Linked DNA regions of Callithrix jacchus. The protein of the gene in region 2 interacts with the protein of the main gene of each other region in a pairwise test. Links are inferred from orthologs where the notes say so. Each region holds a gene or a part of one and is shown on either strand. Other genes may lie near its edges.

Region 1 (5,385 bases), on a different chromosome or scaffold from region 2:
ATCCATGCTAAATGAAAGAGAAAAGGGGTGGGAAATCATGAAATGGAGCAACTTCCTTGATCAAGGCATAAACACCTCCAGGCCAAACTTCCTAGAAAATATCTGGATGAAATCATAATCTTCAGTTTCTTGAGTGTCTCCTTTCTGTCCCTCATACTTAAGCCTCCGATTAACCTGGTTTTGATTTTCGTGGCTGGCATGAGGTGGGATTTCAGTTCATGTTTACATCACAGTCCCAGCACCATTTGTTACAAATTCATCTTCCCTTCCCACCTTCAACAGGAATGTTCCTTCTCACCGCAAGCAAATTTCTGTATACACCTGGGTCTGTTTCTGGATTCTCTGTTCTCCTCTGTTGGCCCATTTGTCTTGTATACCAAAAATAAAATTCTAAGTCCTCCAATCAGCTGAATAGACCTCTCTTCTCAGCCAAGGAGATTCCAAAGAAATCTGAAAGACAAGTTCAGGCCATGACGGGAAGGGGAGTCAGACATGCCTCATTATACCTTCCTTCCTTTGGAGTTCATGCACAACTGACCAGCATTAACATTAAAGCAGGCCAGGCATGGTGGCTCACATCTGTAATCCCAGCAATTTGGGCAGCTGAGGCGGGTGGATCACCTGAGGTCATGAGTTTGAAACCAGCCTGGCAACATGATGAAACCTCATGTCTTCTACAAATACAAAAATTAGCTAGGTATGGTGGTACATGTCTGTAGTCCCAGCTACTCAGGAGGCTGAGGCAGGAGAATCCCTTGCACCCGGGAGGCAGGGGTTGCAGTGAGCTGAGATCACACCATTGCACTCCAGCCTGTCGAAAGAGCGGGAGTCTGTCTCAAAAAAAAAAAAAAATTAAAGCAGAGATTATAGGACTGACAAAGTAGGCTCTGTAGCAGTAACATACCAAATTCCAACCTGACTTTGATCCAGAGGAGATTAGCTAAAAAATCTAGCACCTCCCAGCACTTTGGGAGGCCAAGGCGGGTGGATCACGAGGTCAAGAGATCGAGACCATCCTGGTCAACATGGTGAAACCCTGTCTCTACTAAAAATACAAAAAATTAGCTGGGCATGGTGACGCGTGCCTGTAATCCCAGCTACTTGGGAGGCTGAGGCAGGAGAATTGCCTGAACCCAGGAGGCGGAGGTTATGGTGAGCCGAGATCACGCCATTGCACTCCAGCCTGGGTAACAAGAGGGAAACTCCATCTCAAAAAAAAAAAGAAAGAAAATCTAGCACCTGTTAAAGGTCTGAACAGGAAACATTTGCCAACCATGACTTCTAAAGACGGCCACCTATTAGACTTCATCTACATAATAAGAACCTTGGTCTCCACAACTCCTTATCTTAACCCAGATATTCCTTTCCGTTGATTCCAGGACTTAAGATAATAACACTTTCAACCAATCGCCAACCAGAACATCTTTAAATCCACCTAAGACTTGTAAGTCCCCACCCCTTCAAGTTGTCCTGCCTTTCCGCCACAATATATGTCTCACATTTAATGACTGATATCTTAAGTCTCCCTAAAACACATCAAACCAAGCTCTAATCCAACTACCTTGGGCTCATGTTCTCAGAACCTCCTGAGACTGCATCACAGGTCGTGGTCCTCACATTTGGCTCAGAATAAATCTCTTCAAATATTTTACAGGGGTTGGCTTTTTTTTGGTCCAACAGTCCCTGTTCTAGTACTGTGCCAACTGTAGCTTTATAATTAGTGCTGATCATGGCAGTGCAAGTTATCTCACTTTATTCTTCTCTAGGAGCATCTTTGTTCTTCTACATAAAATTTAGAATCGGCTTGCCAGGTTCCTTGGGAAAAAGCTGACAAGAATTCTATTGGAATTGTATTACATTTATAGATCAGTTTAGGGGGAATGGGCATCTCCATGATTTCTTTGAATGTTGCTTCATTCCCATTCTTCCTATTGTATCCTTCTGGAAATTCGGTTCAAAATATTAGCCCCAGCTGGGTATAGTGTCACCTGTATAGTCCCAACTACTTGGGAGGCTGATGGGGGAGAATACCTTGAGCCCAGGAGTTTGAGGCTGCAGTGAGCTATGGTTGCACCACTGTACTCCAGACTGGGTGACACAGTGAGACCTTGTCTCTTGAAAAAAAAAAAAGACATCTGAATCTCAATTACATTTTCTTTTTCTTTCTTTACTTTTATTTATTTGAGACAAGGTCTCATTCCATCGCCCAGGCTGGAGTTGGAGTACAGTGGTGTGATCATGGCTCATTGCAGCCTCAACCTCTCTGGGCTCAGGTGATCCTCCCACCTCAGCCTCCCACGTAACTGGGACTACAGGCACATGTGACCATGTCCCACTAATTTTTTTTATTTCTTGTAGAGACAGGTTTTTGCCATATTGTTCAAGCTGATCTCAAATTCTTTGGCTCAAGTGATCCATCTGCCTCAGCCTCCCAGAGTGCTGGGATCACAGGTGTGAACCACTGGGCCCGGCCTATATTTTTCATTTTTAGAAGTTCTATATGGTTCTTTTAAGATCTTCTTGGTTAAACCTACTATGTACCCACAAAAATTAAACAGTAAAAAAAATCTCCTTGGTCATTCTTTATAATCTCTTATTCCTTATTCATATTTTTAAGGCTCTCATCCTTTAACTCAGTATTTCATAATCTGTGTCAGTTAAACTCCCTATCTAGTCTTTGCACAGCTGATTCTTGTGTCCACAGTGTCTGCCAATGCTGGCTCTAATTGCCTTGGTTCCTTGCATATTGGGATTTTTAAAAAAAAACTATTACCTTATTTTTCTTGGAACTTATCTTGGGAATTCTTTGAGGCTTGGTCCTGAAGTTGTTTTCCTCCAAAAAGGGTTTGCCTTTCCTTCTGCCACCTCACCACCCCGGGAATACTTTAAATGTTTGGCTTTAGAGTTTTCTGCCCCTACAGGTAGCTGTGAATTCAGATGGCAAACTACAGGATTTAGTCAGACCTGAGGTGGAACCCTCACTCACTTACTATGTGACCTGAGGCAAGTTATTTAATCTTTCTAAATCTGTCCTATCATCTGTGAAATAGCAATAATAATACCTACTGCCTAAGGCTACTGCAAGGATGAAATGGGATCACATATGTAAATACAGGCTTGCCTGGGGTTCTTTCTCAGTCCCTGCCTACGATTCTCTTCCTTGCTTTCTTCTGCCCCAGCCAATGGGAGCAGCTTAGTGATGGCCTCCAGCATTAGTTCTGCCTCTCGCTGTAGGACCTGAGTTATAGTGGAAGCAGGGTGCTTCACATCTCACTCCAGTGACTCACTCTGCCATCAGCTTTGAGATGACTGAGCCTCCGAAAGCCTTTGAGAGACATCTCTACCCTCAGTCTTGACTGTGGTTTGGAATATTCTTGGAGGTCACTTGAAACTGGGCAACAAGAAAAATGACATTTGACAGAATTGTTTTCTTTGTCAGATGCTGCAGGAGTTTCTTGGTGAGTTTGTTGGCTATGATTTCTTAAAAGATGTTAAAATTGTTAATTTTTTTTTGAGACATGGTTTTGCTCTCTTGCCCAGGATGGAGTGCAGTGTCGCGCGATCATGGCTCTGCAGCCTCAACCTTGCAGGCTCAAGTCACTCTCCCATTTCAGCCTCCCGCGTAGCTGGAACTGCAGGAGCATGCCACCACACCTGGCTAATTTTTAAAAATTCTTTGTAGAAACAGGGTTTTGCCATGTTGCCTTGGCTGGTCTAGAACTCGGGGGCTCAAGCAATCCTACTGCCTCCCAAAGTGCTGGGATTACAGGTTTGAGCCACCGCACCCTTCTTACATGATTAAAAATTATTAGCCGGGCGCCGTGAGAACAACAACAACAACAAAAAAAACAGCAGCATATGCTCTGCTGACAAAATTATTTGATGTCCCCAGGTTGGTTATGTGGGCTTTCCTGACTCTTCCCTGCTGTTTAGGAAGGGCTTCAGAGACCTGAATACTTGGTAGCCAGAGCAGCAGGGTTTCAGGGTTTCAGGGTTTGGCCCCGGGAGGGGAAGAAGCGGGAGGGCAGGTTGCAGCTCAAGTGCCTTTAGAGATGCTGAGCCTCTCCTGTCCTGCCCAGGACGCAATGAGCCCCTGAAGAAAGAACGGCTGAAGTGGAAGAGCGACTACCCCATGACTGACGGGCAGCTGCGGAGCAAACGGGATGAGTTCTGGGACACAGCACCTGCCTTCGAGGGTCGAAAGGAGATCTGGGATGCCCTCAAGGCCGCCGCCTACGCTGCCGAGGCCAATGACCATGAGCTGGCCCAGGCCATCCTGGATGGAGCCAGCATCACCCTGCCTCATGGTAAGTGGGCAGGGCCAGGGCTTTATCCCCGCTGGAGCTAGGGGGTCACCAGCACGGTTTGCAGGTAGAGTAGAGCCGGTGGCCAGCCACGTGTCAGGAGGTTCTATCCAAGCTGTTGGGGGAGTGTTGAGCGGTGTGGAGTGGTGGAACAGGTGGTTATTCACTTATTCGTTCATTCAAGCAATCCTTGCTGAGCATGGACCAGAAGTGGATACATAAGGAAAATGAGACAGTCTGTGCTTGCCTAATGACACAATAGAAAGGCATCAACAAACCTGCCAAGCAGTGTCACAAATGCATGTTGGGACCCCAGAACATCCAAGACACTGACCTTTTTATTTTATATATATGTTTTTTGAAACAGAGTCTTACTCTGTTGCCCAGGCTGGAGTGTAGTGGTGGGATCTCTGCTCACTGCAACCTCTGCCTTCTGGGTTCAAGCAGTTCTCCTGCCTCGGCCTCCTGAGTAGCTGGGATTACAGGCACGTGCCACCACACCCAGCTAATTTTTGTATTTTTAGTGGAGATGGGGTTTCACCACGTTGGCCAGGCTGGTCTCGAACTCCTGAGCTCAAGTGATCTACCGACCTCGGCCTCCCAAAGGCATGGACCTTGGGTTATGTGCTGGGCACTGAACTAGAAACTTCCACTGCATTAGCTCACGTAAGTTCACAGCAGCCTTATGGGGCCGTGTAAAGCAGAGGGTAACAACAGTGGCGCTCTAGAGTCCCAGACCTGGGTTTCAGCCTGAGTGTGTTCCTTTCCTAATTGTGTTGCCTTTAGCAAGGAGCTTCTAGAAGTTAGAGCCTGAGTGCCTTACAACTATAGAGGGGAGATGATTATTAGGATTCAGCAAGACGCACATAACATCATACAGTCTAGTCCCTGCACTTAAGTGTTCAAGAGACAATACACTTATTTTTCCATGCATTACATGGTACCAGTAAGGACACTGAGGCCCATGGAGAGCAGAGCTGTGCTATTTCATTCATCCCTGTAACCCCAGCACCTGGCACATGTGAACAAATGAAAAGTGATGTCCCAGGGATGAACAAACCAGTACCTGGTAGAGCCAGGA
Region 2 (5,385 bases):
CTAACATGAAAATCATTTACATTCTCTGAAAAGGGAAATGGCAAAGGGTGAGGGATGGCAACAAACAAGCAAAAGCCTGGCTTTTGTTAACACCAGTTCCAGGACAGATGCACACAGGCCAAAGAAAGTTGCCTATTTGGCCATTCCCTATACATCACCCTCTTCTACCCTGCCCTTAGGGTGAGGAAGACTCTATTACCTTTCTTCCTTTCTGGCTTGGATACCTTGGCCAGGTAACAAGGCTGACAATTTGGGAGTAGCTACTTCATAACATTCTTTACGGCCAGGGCTTTGGATACAAACCTTTCTCTTTCCTCTAATACCTGACTCTCCTTTCCAATTTCTCTTGGGAAAACTGTGAAAGGATAGATATGTCTTGCAGGATCTCTTCTACCTTGGCTCTGGAGAGGAGCAAGGTGACTGACTTCTTGGTGTAAAGAGGCAGGCAATCAGCCAACTCTGCTGAAGGCTGAGGCAGGGACCTGGGTTCTCCTCTGCTTTCTTTTCAGCCTCTCCTTTCCACATTCCTACCTCTGGCCAATACTACCCATAATGGCAATCTTACCCTTGGAATGGAAGACCAAAAAACCTCCTTCCCCTTTGTTAATCTCTAGGAACTTGTTCCTTTACCCACTTCCCTGATCTTCTAACCTTGTTGATGTCCAACCTCTGCCCTCAGAAAAACTCTTCAACGTTGAGACCCATGAGAGCATCTGTCATTCATCTTTCTTTAATTTAGAGGTACAGACTCCTGTGATCTACCTCAAGAAGCAAGACTATCCTGGGTCAAAGAACCCCCTAAAAGATGTGCAGGGGTTTCTGTTTCCTCCTCTGGTTTGAGAAAGTCAGACCCTCACAGATTTTTTTTTGTTTGTTTCTGGAAAAGCCTCTCCTTCCTTCCCAACCCTTCCTTGTGCAACAGAAAACCTGATGGACTTCAGGGCAGATAATCCTCTGGGAACCAGCTCCTTGCCCTGACAGGAGGGAGACACAGCTGTGCTCTCTCATCCAGCCCAGTCCTACCTCTCCCTCCACCCAAAACCATCCTAGAAACTGAGGTGTTTCTCCAAGATGATTCGGGACTGGAACCAGGTGGACACGAAGACGTTCCAGCAGGACACAGGAAGGAGGCCCGTAGCACTTGACCCTGCCTCACCCCAGTTATTCCCACATCCCAACCTGTCACTCCCAATCTGTTGGGGGTCTGATGGTAAGTGGTGCAGCATTCTTCCGTCCAGCCCGGATGCCCGGGTAGAAGAGGGGCCAAAGTTTCTCAGTAAAAGTATCAGTGAAAGTGTAGATATGAGAGCGGTCTGTGACATTGTAGAAAGACAGTGTGCCGGCCTCATAGTCTAGGAATATGCCTACCCGCTTGGGTTTCACCTTGATGTGCAAAGGGGTAAAAGGTGTGGTGGTGGCTGCGTATTTGTCCCCATTCCATAGCCGCACCCGCCAGTAACCAGTCTCAGGGAGTGGAGTCAACTCGCCCTTTCGGCTCACAGAGTCCCGGCACACACCCACTGCCCAGTGGGTTTTGTCGCCCACCTCCACCTCCCAGTAGTGTCGACCTGAGGTGAAACCCTCAGTAGCCAGGACGCAAGGGTAGAAGGTGAAACGCCTTGGTGTATCAGGAAGATCCCGGAGTCTTGTCTCCACGAACTTGACACTCTTACGATCCTCCGACAGGACTAGGTTAGGATGAGCCGTCTCAGGATCCAGGGTCACATCCGCTGGCGGGAGAAGCCAGAGTGGGGAGCTAGATGAGGATGGGAATAGCTAAACGCCCCTGCCTCACTCTTCCAGCCTGCCTTACAGAGCCTGGTCCCTTAAAGGTCCCCAGAACAACACGGTTTGGTTAACTTTCTCAATCCATGGTGTCACCTAAGGCAGGGGAGAAAGCAATGGCTCATTTCTCACACTGACCCTGAAGTAAACATAATCTCTTGACTCTGCAGGGGCTGGTAATCTAGGTTCCCGCCTGGTCTTCTCTTCATCTCCCTCTGACATCATCATTTATTTTACTATGTAGACAAGTACAAGGTACAGCCTGAGAGCCAGAGAAAATGGAAAGTGTTAAGAAGAATGCAGAGCAAGACAGCGTATGGCCTAGGGATAGAGTGACCATGTGTCTATTTTCTGAGAACTGGCCTCGTTTATGACTTTATGACTATTTTTCCCTGCATATTAACATTAATATAATGATACTCCCTTTCACTTTACTTTTTTTTGAGATGGAGTCTCGCTCTGTCCCCCAGGCTGGAGTGCAGTGCCACAATCTCAGCTCACTGCAACCTCCACTTCCTGGGTTCAAGCAGTTCTCCTGCTTCAGCCTCCAGAGTAGCTGGGATTACAGGTGCGTGCCACCACACCTGGCTAGTTTTTGTATTTTTAGTAGAGATGGGGTTTCATCAAGTTGGCCAGGCTGATCTTGAACTCCTGACCTCAGGTAATCCTCCATCCTTGGCCTCCCAAAGTGCTATGATTACAGGTGTGAGCCACCCAGCCTTTCAAGGTTATGCAAGTTTACATGGTAAATTATATAATCACTCTACCCGGTGACTTTGGCAAATTATTTAACCTTTCTGGGTCCCTATAGACAAGTATTGACCTAAGAGTAGACAACACTTAAGGCTTCCTCTCACTCCAAGTTCTGTAACTCAGGGTGACAGTAAAAGCCAGGTAAAGGGGTAGGTGTGGGTGGGAGTAAGAAAAGTGAGAGATGGGATAACTCAAACCCATATAAGGTAAGACCTAAAAGCTTTCTTCTCTCTAGTGTTTCCTTCTAGTTTCCTTTTGGTAACAACTCACCAATTAGCTGTTTAAGGATTTTCCTTAGGGCAAAGTACTGTCGGGGGAAATTGCTGAAGTTCTTTTCCAGCTCTATGGATACTGAAGTCACCTCCATGGTCTTCACCTTCTCACATCTAGGAAGGATAGGGAGACAGGGAAGAAAGGGTGGAGTCAGGGGGAAGCTCCAGCCAAGTGACTATTCAGATGTTAACATCTTTAGGGAGTAAATGAAATTCTCTATCTTCCCTCTTTCTTCCTCCTCCATGAAGAGCTCACCTTTTGCTTTCTTTTAGTAATCCAAGGAGAGCCTTATGATCTTGTGGACAGATCCTAATTTTGAGAGTGAGCCTCAGAACTTTCTAAAAATATTCCTATATTTCATGCAAATGGTTGACTGTCCTTCATGCTCTCTGAACTCCTTCTTCCTGCCATCTTGTTTGGACACAGTTCCACCCACTGGCACAGTAGAATCTGGTTCTGCCTATCATTCTCCTTCTCAAGGAGTCCTGACGTTTACAGGGGAAAAGGGATTATTATTCTCAATAATTTGTTCTCTACCTGGCTTCATGGGGTCAATGAACCTTCTCCCATACCCTGCCCAGATGCTACATGACTTTCCCAATCTAATCCCTGACCCAAACTCCTGACTGTACCCCTCCTCTCTAAGCCAAGACCTAACTCACTCAAAGAGATATAACAATCACTTACTTTTCCAGGGTACTTTTGACATCCTAGAAGGAAGGAGAAAAGAAAGCAATATTGGTCCTGGTAGTCAACGGTCCTGAATGCAAAAGGTTCCCTTTCCTCCCCAAAGTTCCACAGCTACAAAATAGGCGTAGGATAAACTGAGGGTCACACAATGCAAGAAGAGCTCCAGAGGGACCTGAATGTACTTCTTTCAACCTAATCCCTACTTTCAATTTTTGGTCATCATGAAACCTGGTCATTTATATCACTTCCCAATTATTTCTTTTATGTTTGTCTTTGCTCTTCAAGGGTGCTGGGAGCTCCCTACAAGAATCAGGGATTGTGTCAGTCTTTACTCTGTCCCCCAAGTACCAACCACATATCTCAGTCTCCTTGAGGATCAGTACAGAGAGTTCCGGACTGGTGGCATAGGAACAAATCACACATTCCTGTTACCATTTGGCATCCCTTGTCTTGCATTAGTTAATAAACATTATTAGCTGGTCAGGCACAGTAGCTCATGCCTGTAATCCCAGCACTCTGGTAGACCAAGGCAGGTAGATCACTTGAGATCAGCAGTTCAAGACCAGCCTGGCCAACATGGTGAAACCCCATCTCTACTAAAAACACAAAAATTAGCCGGGCATGGCAGTGTGCACCTGTAATCCCAGCTACTTGGGAGGCTGAGGCAGGAAAATCGCTTGAACCCGGGAGGTAAAGGTTGCAGTGAGCCAAGATCATGCCACTGCACTCTAGCCTGGGCAACAGAGCAAGATTCCATCTCAAAAAAAAAAAAGAAACAATAAACATTAATAACTGAGGGCTAATACTGATTTGTGAATACTTGGGGTCCAGAAGACAAAGAAGACAAATCTCTGTCCCACAGGATTTCCCAGTTTAATGTGGAAAGCAGAACACACATACATGAAAGGACACAGGAATAAATACCAAGCAATACATAACATAAATGTACAATGAAGCCTCACTGATTGAAATGCTGGTAATCTAATCTCTAAGATTAAAAAATATGTTCCCTACAGTTTTGCTAACATCATTCATTTACTTAAGAGAACAAACTATTTCAAACACTTTAGAGGTATTATTAATATTTACATATCAAAAGCAAATTATTATTTATACATAATTTCAGGCTCCCTCATTTTATTGCACTTTGCTTTACTGTGTTTTGTTGACACTGTGTGTTTTTCAACTGGAAGGTTGGTGGCAACCTGTGTCGAGCAAGTCTACTGGCACCGTTTTTTCCAACAGCATGTGTTCACTTCATGTCTCTGTAACATTTTGATAATTCTCACAATATTTCACACTTTTTCATGATTATATCTAGTATGAGTTGTGATCAGTGATCTTTGATGTTACTACTGTAATTGTTTTGGGGAACTTACATGAACTGCATTCATATAAGATGAAAAACTTAATCGATAAGTATGTTAAATATTTTATGTATTCTAACTGATCCACTACCAGCCATTCCCTTATCTTTCTCCATCTCCTCTGGCCTCCCTATTCCCTGAGACATAACAATATTAAAATTACACCAATTAGGCTGGGCGTGGTGGCTCATGCCTGTAATCCCAGCACTTTGGGAGGCCGAGGCAGGTGGATCACGAGGTCAAGAGATTGAGACCATCCTGGTCAACATGGTGAAACCCCGTCTCTACTAAAAATACAAAAAATTAGCTGGGCACGGTGGTGCGTGCCTGTAATCCCAGCTACTCAGGAGGCTGAGGCAGGAGAATTGCCTGAACCCGGGAGGCGGAGGTTGTGGTGAGCCGAGATCGCGCCATTGCACTCCAGCCTGGGTAACAAGAGTGAAACTCCGTCTCAAAAATAAATAAATAAATAAAAATAAAATTACACCAATTAATAATCCTACAATAGCCTCTAAGT
Region 3 (5,385 bases), on a different chromosome or scaffold from region 2:
TAAGGAGATCAAACAAAAGTACATGCATGGAACTAGCATGTGTGCATTCCCAGACACATTCAAAGCTTATGGTTATCCTAAAAACAGTCATATTTCTACACAAAACAGAAAAGTTCCTGATAATGCTCAGGGCTACAATAATGGCAAACTGTCCTTAAAAACATGTGGATCTAACTTCTACATTACTATGCCAAAAATAGGCTTGATGAGAAAGTATAATAACTAAACAGAGCATCCTCGGAGTCTCTACAGCTTATAAAATCTAAACTGAGACTCAATCTCTAGTGATGGTAGAAGGAAACCAGTGAAGTAGAAGCTCCAACAGACTGACAGTGGGATGGGGCTGGTAAAGTAGGGGTGGCAGGGTGGAGAGAAGAGGTCTTCATGGAGAACTAGGTTAAACAGAAACTTTTGAGATGCTCAGAGTTCTTTTCTGAGATTAAGATATATTAAAAAAAAAACAAAACAAAAATACAAACACACCAAGTAAAACCTGTCTCCAGCTGAAAGATGTATAAGAAAAAAAGAGGAATGCTATTCCTTGCTACATTAAAAAAAAAAAAAGTTAGAATAATTTATAGCAAGGAAAAACTCTCCCATTTGTTTTCTTGCTATAAGAAACAAAGCTGATTATGTTCCCTCTGTCCTTGAGGAACACCAAACCTACCATGTGGTAATGTTATGTTTGCACCATCAATGATTGCTTGTGCCAGTTCATGATCATTGCTCTCAAAAGCATGTGCAGCAGCCTTCAAGGCATCCCAAATCTCTTTTCGGCCTTCAAAAGCTGGTGCAGTATCCCAAAATTCATCCCTCTTGCTGCGCAGTTGTCCATCTGTCATAGGATAATCGCTTTTCCATTTTGGTTTCTCCTTTTTCAAAGGCTGGTTACGACCTAGAGCAACTGAGAAGAAAAATAAAAGACTGAGATCAAAACCAAAACTTATAAAGTATATATCACAAGTTATCTGGTCATTCCCTCTTTTGGATTATTTCATCAAAATGACAGCCAGAAATTTGCCTGCTAGCTAATGTGTGCATTCTAAAATTCCTCTTAACATATTCTGGAACTACAAAAGTGAACAGAGACATTAGATGGCTCTGTGCAAAACAAATTGGTAGCTCTTTTCCACCCAGTACACCCTCTCTACAGGATCATTACAAAGAATTACAGGCTGAGGTGGAAGAATAGCTTGAATCCAGGAGTTCAAGGCTAGCATGGGCAACATCGTGAGACTCCCCCCATCTCTACAAAAACCACAAAAATTAGCCTGGCATGTTGGCATGTGCCTGTGGTCCCAGCTACTCAGGAGGCTGAGGTGGGAAGTTTACTTGAGCCTGGGAGGTTGTGTTTGCAGCGAGCCACGATCACACCACTGCACTCCAGCCTGGACGAGAGACCCCATCTCACACAATACAAAACAAAAACACCCAGAGAATTATAGTTGTAATGAATGTACCACTTTGGTGGAGGATGTTGATAATCGGAGAAAGGAGGCTATGTATGTGTGGGCACAGGGAGTACATGGGAAATCTCTGTACCTTCCTCTTAATTCTGTTATGAACCTAAAACTGCTCTAAAAAAATAAATATTTTTAAAAATACAATAAAAGTTTTGTTTCGTTCATTTTAAAAGAACTGCCGAGAAGGTAGGTGTTTCTTCAGACTGTAATAGCAGGATACGAGAGTCAAGAGACACCATACAAGAGAGGCAAGATACACTGGGAAAGCCAAATGGCAACTGCAGCTTAGACACATGAAACCAGGAATTAGGAACTGAGAAAATCCAAAGAGGCAAAAGACTGCTTTTTAGTGTCCAGAGAAAGAAAAGCCAAACAACCAGAATCATGAACAAACAGATTACAGGAATACTTCCTCTAGCATTCTCCTCTCTGGACTTTACTCAAGGAACTGTAAATACCTTTCTCTGTAACTCAAACAGGAACTAATTTACAAAGGGTAGAATCAGCACTTTACTTTTTTTGAGGAACTGGGAATAAAAGAGATAATCCTTGATTCTAGGCCAAGGGATTAGCTCCCAACCACAAGGAACAGAACTACAATATCCTACCCTAGTTTCAACCCAAAAGAAGAAGAAAACAGAGGCAAGTGCAGCATCTCCCCTTAGAGAATGTTATGTCGTCGTCGTCATTGTAGTAGTAGTAGAACAAGTCTGATACAACATCCTTGCATCCACATACCTACCTGGTGTATTATCTGTGATCTATTTTCACAGGTCATACTGACCTACAGAGCTATTCTTATTTATGGCTCTGTAGGATTATACAGTGCTATAGATAGGAAATAGTTTGATAGATGGGATAGAAGATAAAAAGAAAATTGAAGCTGGATGAAAAGAGAAGAGTGTTGGAAAAGAGTGGGTGGGAAATAAAATGACAGAGCAGGTGGGAAGGAGAGAGGGTATGTGTCAAAATTCAATGTTCTATATTTAATTGCAGAAAGAATACCAATTTTAAAGAAACCACTCTCAAACTGGTTCTAAAGCATCCATGAAATTGACAATTCTCTCATTGGCCCAGGGCCAAATGAAATTTGGGCTATGCAAAACAGAAAATAAAATGACTCCAGACCCTGGGCTATCTGTACTCTCCAGGTCTTATCTCTCAGATAAGACCAACAAAGACTGCCAAGGCAAGTCTCTTCTGTCCTCTCCCCTTCAGGGTGGCATACCATATTACCACCAGCTGTTTTCCACTTAAAACGCTCAGCATTAACTCAAATACTTTTTGCCTTCTAACTTGTCCTAGTGAAATGCAAAACAGGTGAGTTCTAAACGGGTGGGAAAACAGAGTAGGAAACCCATCCTTTAAAGTAGTAGAGCTGGAAACCAAATCCAAGTCTCCTTACTTAATCAACAAATATGTACTGAGTGTCTATTATATTTAATTCAAATGTGAGAAACACAGTCTATACTAATGATTTTTTCTCTGCTTCTTCCAAATAATACAGATTATGCAGCTAGAGCATAATTCCCTAAAAGATGTTCAGAATGTGTCTGATAACCACAACCTACCGATTGCACCAGTACAATGGAATGCAAGGTAGCCTTTATTTTCTGCTACATTATTGTTTAGATAAGTTAGAGACAGTTTACGGACAACACTCAGCTTACTGACCAGGAGGAGGAGGAAGATGGCACAGTAAGTATGCAGACTCAGTAAGATTCTATCTAAATGAAATTTTGGGTCTACCTGAATATTTCTTTTTTCTTTTTTTCCTACCTGTTTCTACAGAATTATCTGATCTCATATGTACTAAATCCATGAGAGATAACTTAGTATAATTTTTCCTGTCATTCTGAGAGAATCACAAAGCACGGGCAAAAACAATAAAACCTCTACAATCTCAGGACCTAAAACTAAAGCAAATGAAAGTAAGAGGCCCTTGAAAAGAGGAACCTAACAGAAAAACAATCATAATATGTGTACAAAGTACCCTGGAAAAATTGTAAAACACCTTCCTTACAAATGTGAAGTAGGTTCATTTCATCTCTTTCCATTTGGCAGAGAACAAAGTCCCACAAAAAGAATAGATGATGCATTTATGTTGCTTAAGGAAAATAATTCCAAATGCATTTGCTATCTATCTATCTATCTATCTATCTATCTATCATCTATCTATCATCTATCTATCTATCTATCTATCTATCTATCTATCTATCTATCTATCTATCTGAGACAGAGTCTTGCTCTGTCACCCAGGCTGGAGTGCACTGGCATGACTGGGCTCACTGCAACCTCTGCCTCCTGGGTTTATGCGATTCTCCTGCTTCAGTCTCCTGAGTAGTTGAGACTACAAGCATGGGCCACCACACTCAGCTAATTTTGTGTGTGTGTTTTTAGTAGAGACAGGGTTTCACCATGTTGGTCAGGCTGGTCTCAAACTCTGGACCTCAGGTGATCCTTCTGCTCAGCCTCCCAAATTGCTGGGTTTACAGCACCATGACAGGCCCCAAATGCATTTTCAAATCTACATGCTGTCAAAAGCTTCACAGTAATTATTCTGCAAAAGACAAAAATAAATGCTTGTGACATGAAGGAAGATTACTTTTGTCTATTTCTGCCTGTATTATAAACATACATAATATAGAGTATCTGTCTATATAATACCCATTGTTAAAATGATTAAATCTTTGGAACATAATTACTTTAGTGAAACCCCAGAGCAGTGTAGAATTTTCACTATAAAATCGGAGGTTTCAAGTTTCATATTAAACTAAATGACTAACTTTTGTTAAATAAATAATTGGGAAAAATACTAGCATTTAGCAAAAGCATTTGAACTATCCTCTCATGAAAACATGAAAATATTTAGGGTTAAGAGGACTTAAGTTCATATTCATAAAAGCACTCATAATGAGTGATATACAATAAAACAGCAAACAAGGGTTTACTTAATAAGTAAAAACGAACTTGGAGGCACTGCATGAATATCTTTAAGCCCCTTGACAAAAATATACAGGCTGTCTTTTTTCTTTTCATAATTTCCAAATCCCTTCCTTAAATGTTAAAGAACTGTCCTATGACTGCCATGCACTTTCTGTGCCTTTATCAGAGTACACTTTCTTGGCATTTGTTCACCAAATCTTACCCTTTGATTTCAGGTGTTATCACAAACCTGTATTTCTGAAAATGCAGTACTTGGACATAGTTATCAGCCTGGCAGCTAAGTACCTCATGTTTGTACCAAGCTAAACATTTTTATAAGACATGGAATATAAATACTAAACTAAATTTCATTTTATGCTCTTAAACTAACAGTTTTATCTGTTTCACACATTTTCTCACTGCTGATACCATAAGAGAGATGCTTGGTATCATTCATAGTACACAGGACTAGATACCATGCTCTAACAGTGAAGAATTTTAACAGTGAAGAATTAAAAGACAGAAAACATCTTTTATTCCCCAAATTTCTGTTTCTCTATCCTTAAATGGTAGGCAACAACCATCTTTAGTTTTCTATGGATTAGCATATGAGAAATAAAAAATTAATAAAGCTACTTAATTTAAAAAAAAACACAATCTATTTCAGAAAATATCCTTTCCCCCATCAATCCACATTTACCACTTCTTTCAAAATGTGTCCAAAAGTCATCTTCTTCTCAGAAGCCTCTTAATCATATTTACCCACTCTTTATCTTTCCTTGTAATCTTTATATACTTCTTCCCACTCTTTGACAAATAAATAGATCTAACACACAGAAAACCCAAGGCTTGTTTCTCAGATCTAAATAATGCATACTTTTAAATATTTTTACTACATAATTTAAAGCATTTTACCAAAAACTCTTTTTCACATTTTATTAGTAAAAAATAATCATTTTTGAAGCTAACTATGATTATAATTGTTTTGAAACCTTAA
Region 4 (5,385 bases), on a different chromosome or scaffold from region 2:
GCACTCAGGAAACACTGGTTTCTTTCTCTTCCTTGATCTTCAAGATTCACCCAGAGCTCTTTGCTCTTCCTTGCTTCTTTAGAGGACTCTGGTGCCAGCCGGTGGAACAGTGAGTGATGGCGTCCCTGCTGCAAGACCGTGAGTGCCCCTGCCGGGGAACAGGGGTTAGGTTACAGCTCAGGGAAGGGAAGGAGGCTGGACCCCTGTTCCAGAGCTCTCCCGGGGCCGAATACCCTCTCTGCTGGCTACCTAGCCCATGCTTTTCCTGACCTAGGGCTGACCACCGATCAGGACTTGCTGCTAATGCAGGAAGGCATGCTGATGCGCAAGGTGAGGTCCAAAAGCTGGAAGAAGCTGAGATACTTCAGACTTCAGAATGACGGCATGACAGTCTGGCATGCACGACAGGCCAGGGGCAGTGCCAAGCCTAGCTGTGAGTTACCTAGATAGCAGGGGGTGGGTACATGGGTGGATAGGGTCTTGAGGAGCCCAGCAGCCTGAGGGCAGGGGAGGGACCAAAGTCCTACAATAGTGTGTGTGTGTTTGTGCTGTCCTAACTGGCTGGATCTGAGCCTGTAAAAGGAGATCATAACAGTACTTGCCTCATAAGGCTGGTATGAGGATTAAATTAGTTATTGTATATAAAGGGTTTAGAAAAGTCCTGGTAGGGCCGGGTGCGGTGGCTCATGCCTGTAATCCCAGTACTTTGGGAGGCCGAGGCGGGCAATTTTCCGAGGTTGGGCGTTCGAGACCAGCCTGACTAACATGGAGAAACCCCATCTCTACTAAAAATACAAAATTAGCTGGGCGTGGTGGTGCATCCAGTAATCCCAGCTACTCGAGAGGCTGAGGCAAGAGAATCACTTGAACCTGGGAGGCAGAGGTTGCGGTGAGCCAAGATTGCGCCATTGCACTCCAGCCTGGGAAACAAGAGTGAAACTTCATCTCCAAAAAAAAAAAGAGTCCTGTACATAGTAAGATGTAATAAATCATTGGTTATATCTTGTTGTTATTATAATAAGACCATGATCTCAGACATCAGCCTGCCTAAATGAAAGCCCTAGCTCTGCCACTTTCTGAGTAGCTTTGGACAAATCAAGTAGTTAAACCATGGCTGGGCATGATGGCTCAATGCCTGTAATCCCAGCAATTTGAAAGGTTGAGGCAAGAGGATTGCTTGAGACCAGAAGTTCAAGACCAACCTGGACAGCATAGGGAGACCCTGTCTCGACAAAAAATAAAAATAAAAAATTAGCTGGGTGTGGTGCTGTATGCCTGTGGTCTCAGCTATTTGGGAGGCTAAGATGGGAGGATCCCTTGAGCCCAGGAGGATGAGACTGCAGTGAGCTGTGATCACACCACTGCACTCCTGCCTGGGGAGCAAGACCCTGTCTCTAAAAAAATACATACAGACATACATACATACATAAATCAAGCTTTAGTTTCCTCATCTGTAAAATGGGGATTAAACGGTACCTGCTTAGTAGGTTACAAGGACTCAATGAGTTAATGTGTAAAAGACTTAGTATGGGATGTAAAACCAGGATGTATTTAATAAATGTTAGCCATTATGATAAATATTTTTAAATATAAAAAATGTGGCCGAGTGTGGTGGCTCACACCTATAATCCCAGCAGTTTGGGAGGCCAAGGCGGGTGGATCACCTGAGGTCAGGAGTTTGAGACCTGCCTGGCCAACATGGTGAAACCCCGTCTCTACTAAAAATACAAAAATTAGCCGGGTGTGGTGGCGGGCACCTGTAGTGTCAGCTACTCAGAAGGCTGAGGCAGGAGACTCACCTGAACCCAGGAGGCAGAGGTTGCAGTGAGCTGAGATTGTGCCATTGCACTCCAGCCTGGGTGACAAGAGGGAAATTCTGTCTCAGAAAACAAAACGTAAAAAATCATAACAGTGTGCACTTATTGACCAAACTCTTTATGATGACAGGACATAATTGGATCACAGGACGCATCTAAGAGAGTCTGTTTTAGAGACATAATTAAATTGCCCACAATCCGTATCACCCCCAGCTGAGGTAAGGGGGTGAAAGAATTTCTCTGGTTCCCTCGTAGGCATCTGGGAAGAGGAAGCTCTCAAACCTGGAAGGGGAGAACTGGACTTGGGCATATAATGCTTTAGTAGAACTGCTTCTGCCTTTCAAATGTGTTTCCATTTGTCATCCACACCAGTCCTCCTGTGATCACCATTGGGGCTGCCTATGGAAGGGGACTATCCATTATTTCAGATGAGGACACTGAGTAGTTAAGTCATTTTGGTTTATGTCATACTGCCAGCTTGTGGCTAGAAGCCATGTCTTGCCACTTCCAGCACAGGCTCTTTGCTGTGCTGCCTTTGAAAACATCAGTGATTCATGTGGACTCCTGAATCCCTGGGGCATCTCTGTACTAATGCTTTTTGGGATTCAGCCTGCAGAGGCTGGGGTTCCTTTCTATAGTGTTAGGGAGAAGGGGGTGCTGGTCTTTCACCCTTAGCCCCTGCTATTTGCTTGACTCCCTTCCTCAATGCCTCCACCTGCTTCTTCTCTGGCAGTTTCAATCTCTGACGTGGATACAATACGTAACGGGCATGATTCTGAGTTGCTGCGTAGCCTGGCAGAGGACCTCCCCCTGGAGCAGGGCTTCACCGTTGTCTTCCATGGCCGTGCCTCCAACCTGGACCTGGTGGCCAACAGTGTTGAGGAGGCCCAGATATGGATGCGAGGGCTCCAGCTATTGGTGGATCTTGTCACCAGCATGGACCATCAGGAGCGCCTGGACCAGTATCGGCAGGATGGAGTCAGTGTTGGGGGTGGGGGATCACTCTATCCCTGAAGGAGCCAGATGCAATAGGTCTAGGAAAGGTGAGAAGGGGTGCAGGACTAGGGAGGCCCAAGGGTCTAGATGGTATGGGCGGGGACAGCTCAGGCCAATGTGAGACTGAGACTACTGAGGGAGGAATGGAAGCCAGGGATGACAAAGCCAGGCATGAGTCAAGACCCCCAGGATTGGAGGAAGAGACAGTGAGAGGCAGAGGAGCAAATAAGATGCTGCTCCTAAGAGCTGCACAGAAGATCACAGTGACATTAAATAGCATATAGGTGGGAAACAACCCCTTAGAAGGCTCAGTGATACAGACTCACTTCAAGTGTCCTAGATTGTATGCCATTTCATTCATTTATTCATTCATTCACCACCTGTTAACCAGAATGTATCAGGCACTATGCCAGACTATAGGGGTACAGTGATTAAGGAGACTCATATATTGCTTCAGTTAGTGAAGAGGATGGAATTGTGTAAATAATTTTTTTTGGCCAGGCACAGTGACTCACACCTGTAATCCCAGCACTTTGGGAGGCCAAGGCAGGCAGATCACTTGAGGTGAGGAGTTTGAAACCAGCCTGCCCAACATGGTGAAACCCCATCTCTACTAAAAAAAAAAATACCAAAATTAGCCAGGTGCGGTAGCTCACTCCTGCAATCCCAGCACTTTGGGAGGCCAAGGCGGGCAGATCACGAGGTCAGGAGTTCAAGACCAGCCTGGCCAACATAGTGAAACCCCATCTCTACTGAAAATACAAAAATTAGTCTGGCATGGTGTAATCCCAGCTTCTCAGGAGGCTGAGGCAGTAGAATTGCTTGAACTCAGGAGGTGGAGGTTGCAGTATGCCAAGATCACACCACTGCACTCCAGCTTGGGCAACAGGGTGAGACTTCGTCTCAAAAAAACAGACAAACAAAACCCAAATTAGCTGGATGTGGTGGTGCACACGTGTAATCCCAGCTACTTGGGAGGCTGAGGGAGGAGAATTGCTTAAACCTGGGAGGCAGACGTTACAGTGAGCTGAGATCCTGCCACTTCACTCTAGCCTGGAGGACAGAGTGAGATTCCATCTCAAAAACAAAATAATAATAATAATATATATATTTTTAAATAGAAACAGGGTCTTACAATATTGCAAAGACTGGTCTCGAACTCCTGGGTTCAAATGATCCTCCTTAGCCTCCCAAAGTGCTGAGATTATAGGCATGAGCCTCTGTGCCCAGCCTGTGTAAATAATTTAAGTGCCGTAGAAGTATTATGGTACTTAGATTACTGCAGATATTCAAAGGAATTTTTTTTTTGAGACAGAATCTCACTCCATCACCCAGGCTGGAATGCAGTGGCGCAATCTCTGCTCCATGCAACCTCTGCCTCCCTGGTTCAAGCAATTCTTATGTCTCAGCCTCCCTAGCAGCTGGACTACAACAGGTGTGTGCCACCATACCCAGCTAATTTTTTGTATTTTTAGTATGGATGGGATTTCGCCATGTTGGCCAGGCTGATCTTGAAACTCCTGATCTCAGGTGATCCACCCACCTTGGTATTCCACAGTGCTGGGTTTTCAGGCGTGAGCCATTGTGCCTGGCCAGAATATGGATTTCTTTCTGCAGGCAACAGGGAGGTCCCTGCAGGTGCCTGAGTCATACAGTGACAAGACAGATTGGTGCTCTGGAGAGGTTATTCTAGAAGCTGTGTGGAGAATGGATTGGCACTGGGGAGAAACTGGCAGGAAAGACGGGAGAGATATCAGTGGATGAACGTGCACACACAACTGCACACACAAACACATATATTAGTGCTTTTGCCTTGACTCAGACCTGGATGGCTGAGTGACTGGTTTCAGCGTGGAGACAAAAATCAGGATGGTAAGATGACTTTCCAAGAAGTTCAGCGGTTACTGCACCTAATGAATGTGGAAATGGACCAAGAATATGCCTTCAGTCTTTTTCAGGTGAGTCTGCGGGGAAGAATTTTCAGTAGCCAACCAGGCCACATTTTCACTGGGCCAGAAGTCCTCAGACCCCAGTCTGAAACACTCAATTGTTAAATCTCTGCTCTGTGCCCTGAGTACTAGGCTCAATGCCCTATGCTCAATGGGAAGTGTAAGGGGTGATTCTTGCTTTTCAGTCTTGTTGAAAAGTCATAATTCATAATGAAAGGTAAATAACAATATGTTATTATGTTGGACCTCAAGGACTTCTCTGTTCATGGCTAGAATTTCACAGGTGCCTAGAACAATGGAAAACCCCAGCTGGAATGTAAGTAAATAGCAGGAGGGATCTTCTGATCTTTTAGGGGACTTTGGGAGATTTAACTATTTCTAGTTGAAAATTTTCTTTAGTAGCAAATGGTATGGCTAAAATTTTGCCTCTTACTTAGGAAGTGATTTATTCTATGAATACTAAATGTTAGTTCCATGGGAGTTTTATGGAAACATGTTTGGATCTATCTGCCTGTAAGATTTTTTTTTTTTTTTTTTGAGATGGCGTTTCGCTGTTGTTACCCAGACTGGAGTGCAATGGCATGATCTCAGCTCACCGCAACCTCTGCCTCCTGGGTTCAGGC

Evidence for each region. The genes of interacting proteins can lie anywhere in the genome.
Region 1: the proteins of TRIM39 (region 2) and UBTD1 interact in binary tests that used the Homo sapiens proteins (3 or more experiments, as listed by UniProt). The two-hybrid records come from large-scale screens. The link is inferred for Callithrix jacchus from reciprocal best matches to the Homo sapiens genes TRIM39 and UBTD1.
Region 3: the proteins of TRIM39 (region 2) and UBTD2 interact in a two-hybrid assay, tested with the Homo sapiens proteins (2 studies listed by BioGRID and IntAct). The link is inferred for Callithrix jacchus from reciprocal best matches to the Homo sapiens genes TRIM39 and UBTD2.
Region 4: the proteins of TRIM39 (region 2) and PLCD4 interact in a two-hybrid assay, tested with the Homo sapiens proteins (2 studies listed by BioGRID and IntAct). The two-hybrid records come from large-scale screens. The link is inferred for Callithrix jacchus from reciprocal best matches to the Homo sapiens genes TRIM39 and PLCD4.

Annotation. Positions count from the first base shown.
Region 1 is NC_133513.1:90,375,003-90,380,387, forward strand, and holds part of UBTD1 (ubiquitin domain-containing protein 1), read left to right. Parts: intron 1-4,079; coding exon 4,080-4,307; intron 4,308-5,385. UniProt on the Homo sapiens protein: May be involved in the regulation of cellular senescence through a positive feedback loop with TP53. Is a TP53 downstream target gene that increases the stability of TP53 protein by promoting the ubiquitination and degradation of MDM2.
Region 2 is NC_133505.1:35,065,929-35,071,313, reverse strand, and holds part of TRIM39 (E3 ubiquitin-protein ligase TRIM39), read right to left. Parts: intron 3,522-5,385; coding exon 3,499-3,521; intron 2,925-3,498; coding exon 2,809-2,924; intron 1,731-2,808; coding exon 1,183-1,730; 3' UTR 1-1,182.
Region 3 is NC_133503.1:64,591,996-64,597,380, forward strand, and holds part of UBTD2 (ubiquitin domain-containing protein 2), read right to left. Parts: intron 905-5,385; coding exon 668-904; intron 1-667.
Region 4 is NC_133507.1:140,351,915-140,357,299, forward strand, and holds part of PLCD4 (1-phosphatidylinositol 4,5-bisphosphate phosphodiesterase delta-4), read left to right. Parts: intron 1-44; 5' UTR 45-116; coding exon 117-138; intron 139-274; coding exon 275-433; intron 434-2,072; exon of another isoform or gene 2,073-2,218; coding exon of another isoform or gene 2,219-2,261; intron 2,262-2,550; coding exon 2,551-2,779; intron 2,780-4,641; coding exon 4,642-4,771; intron 4,772-5,385. UniProt on the Homo sapiens protein: Hydrolyzes the phosphatidylinositol 4,5-bisphosphate (PIP2) to generate 2 second messenger molecules diacylglycerol (DAG) and inositol 1,4,5-trisphosphate (IP3).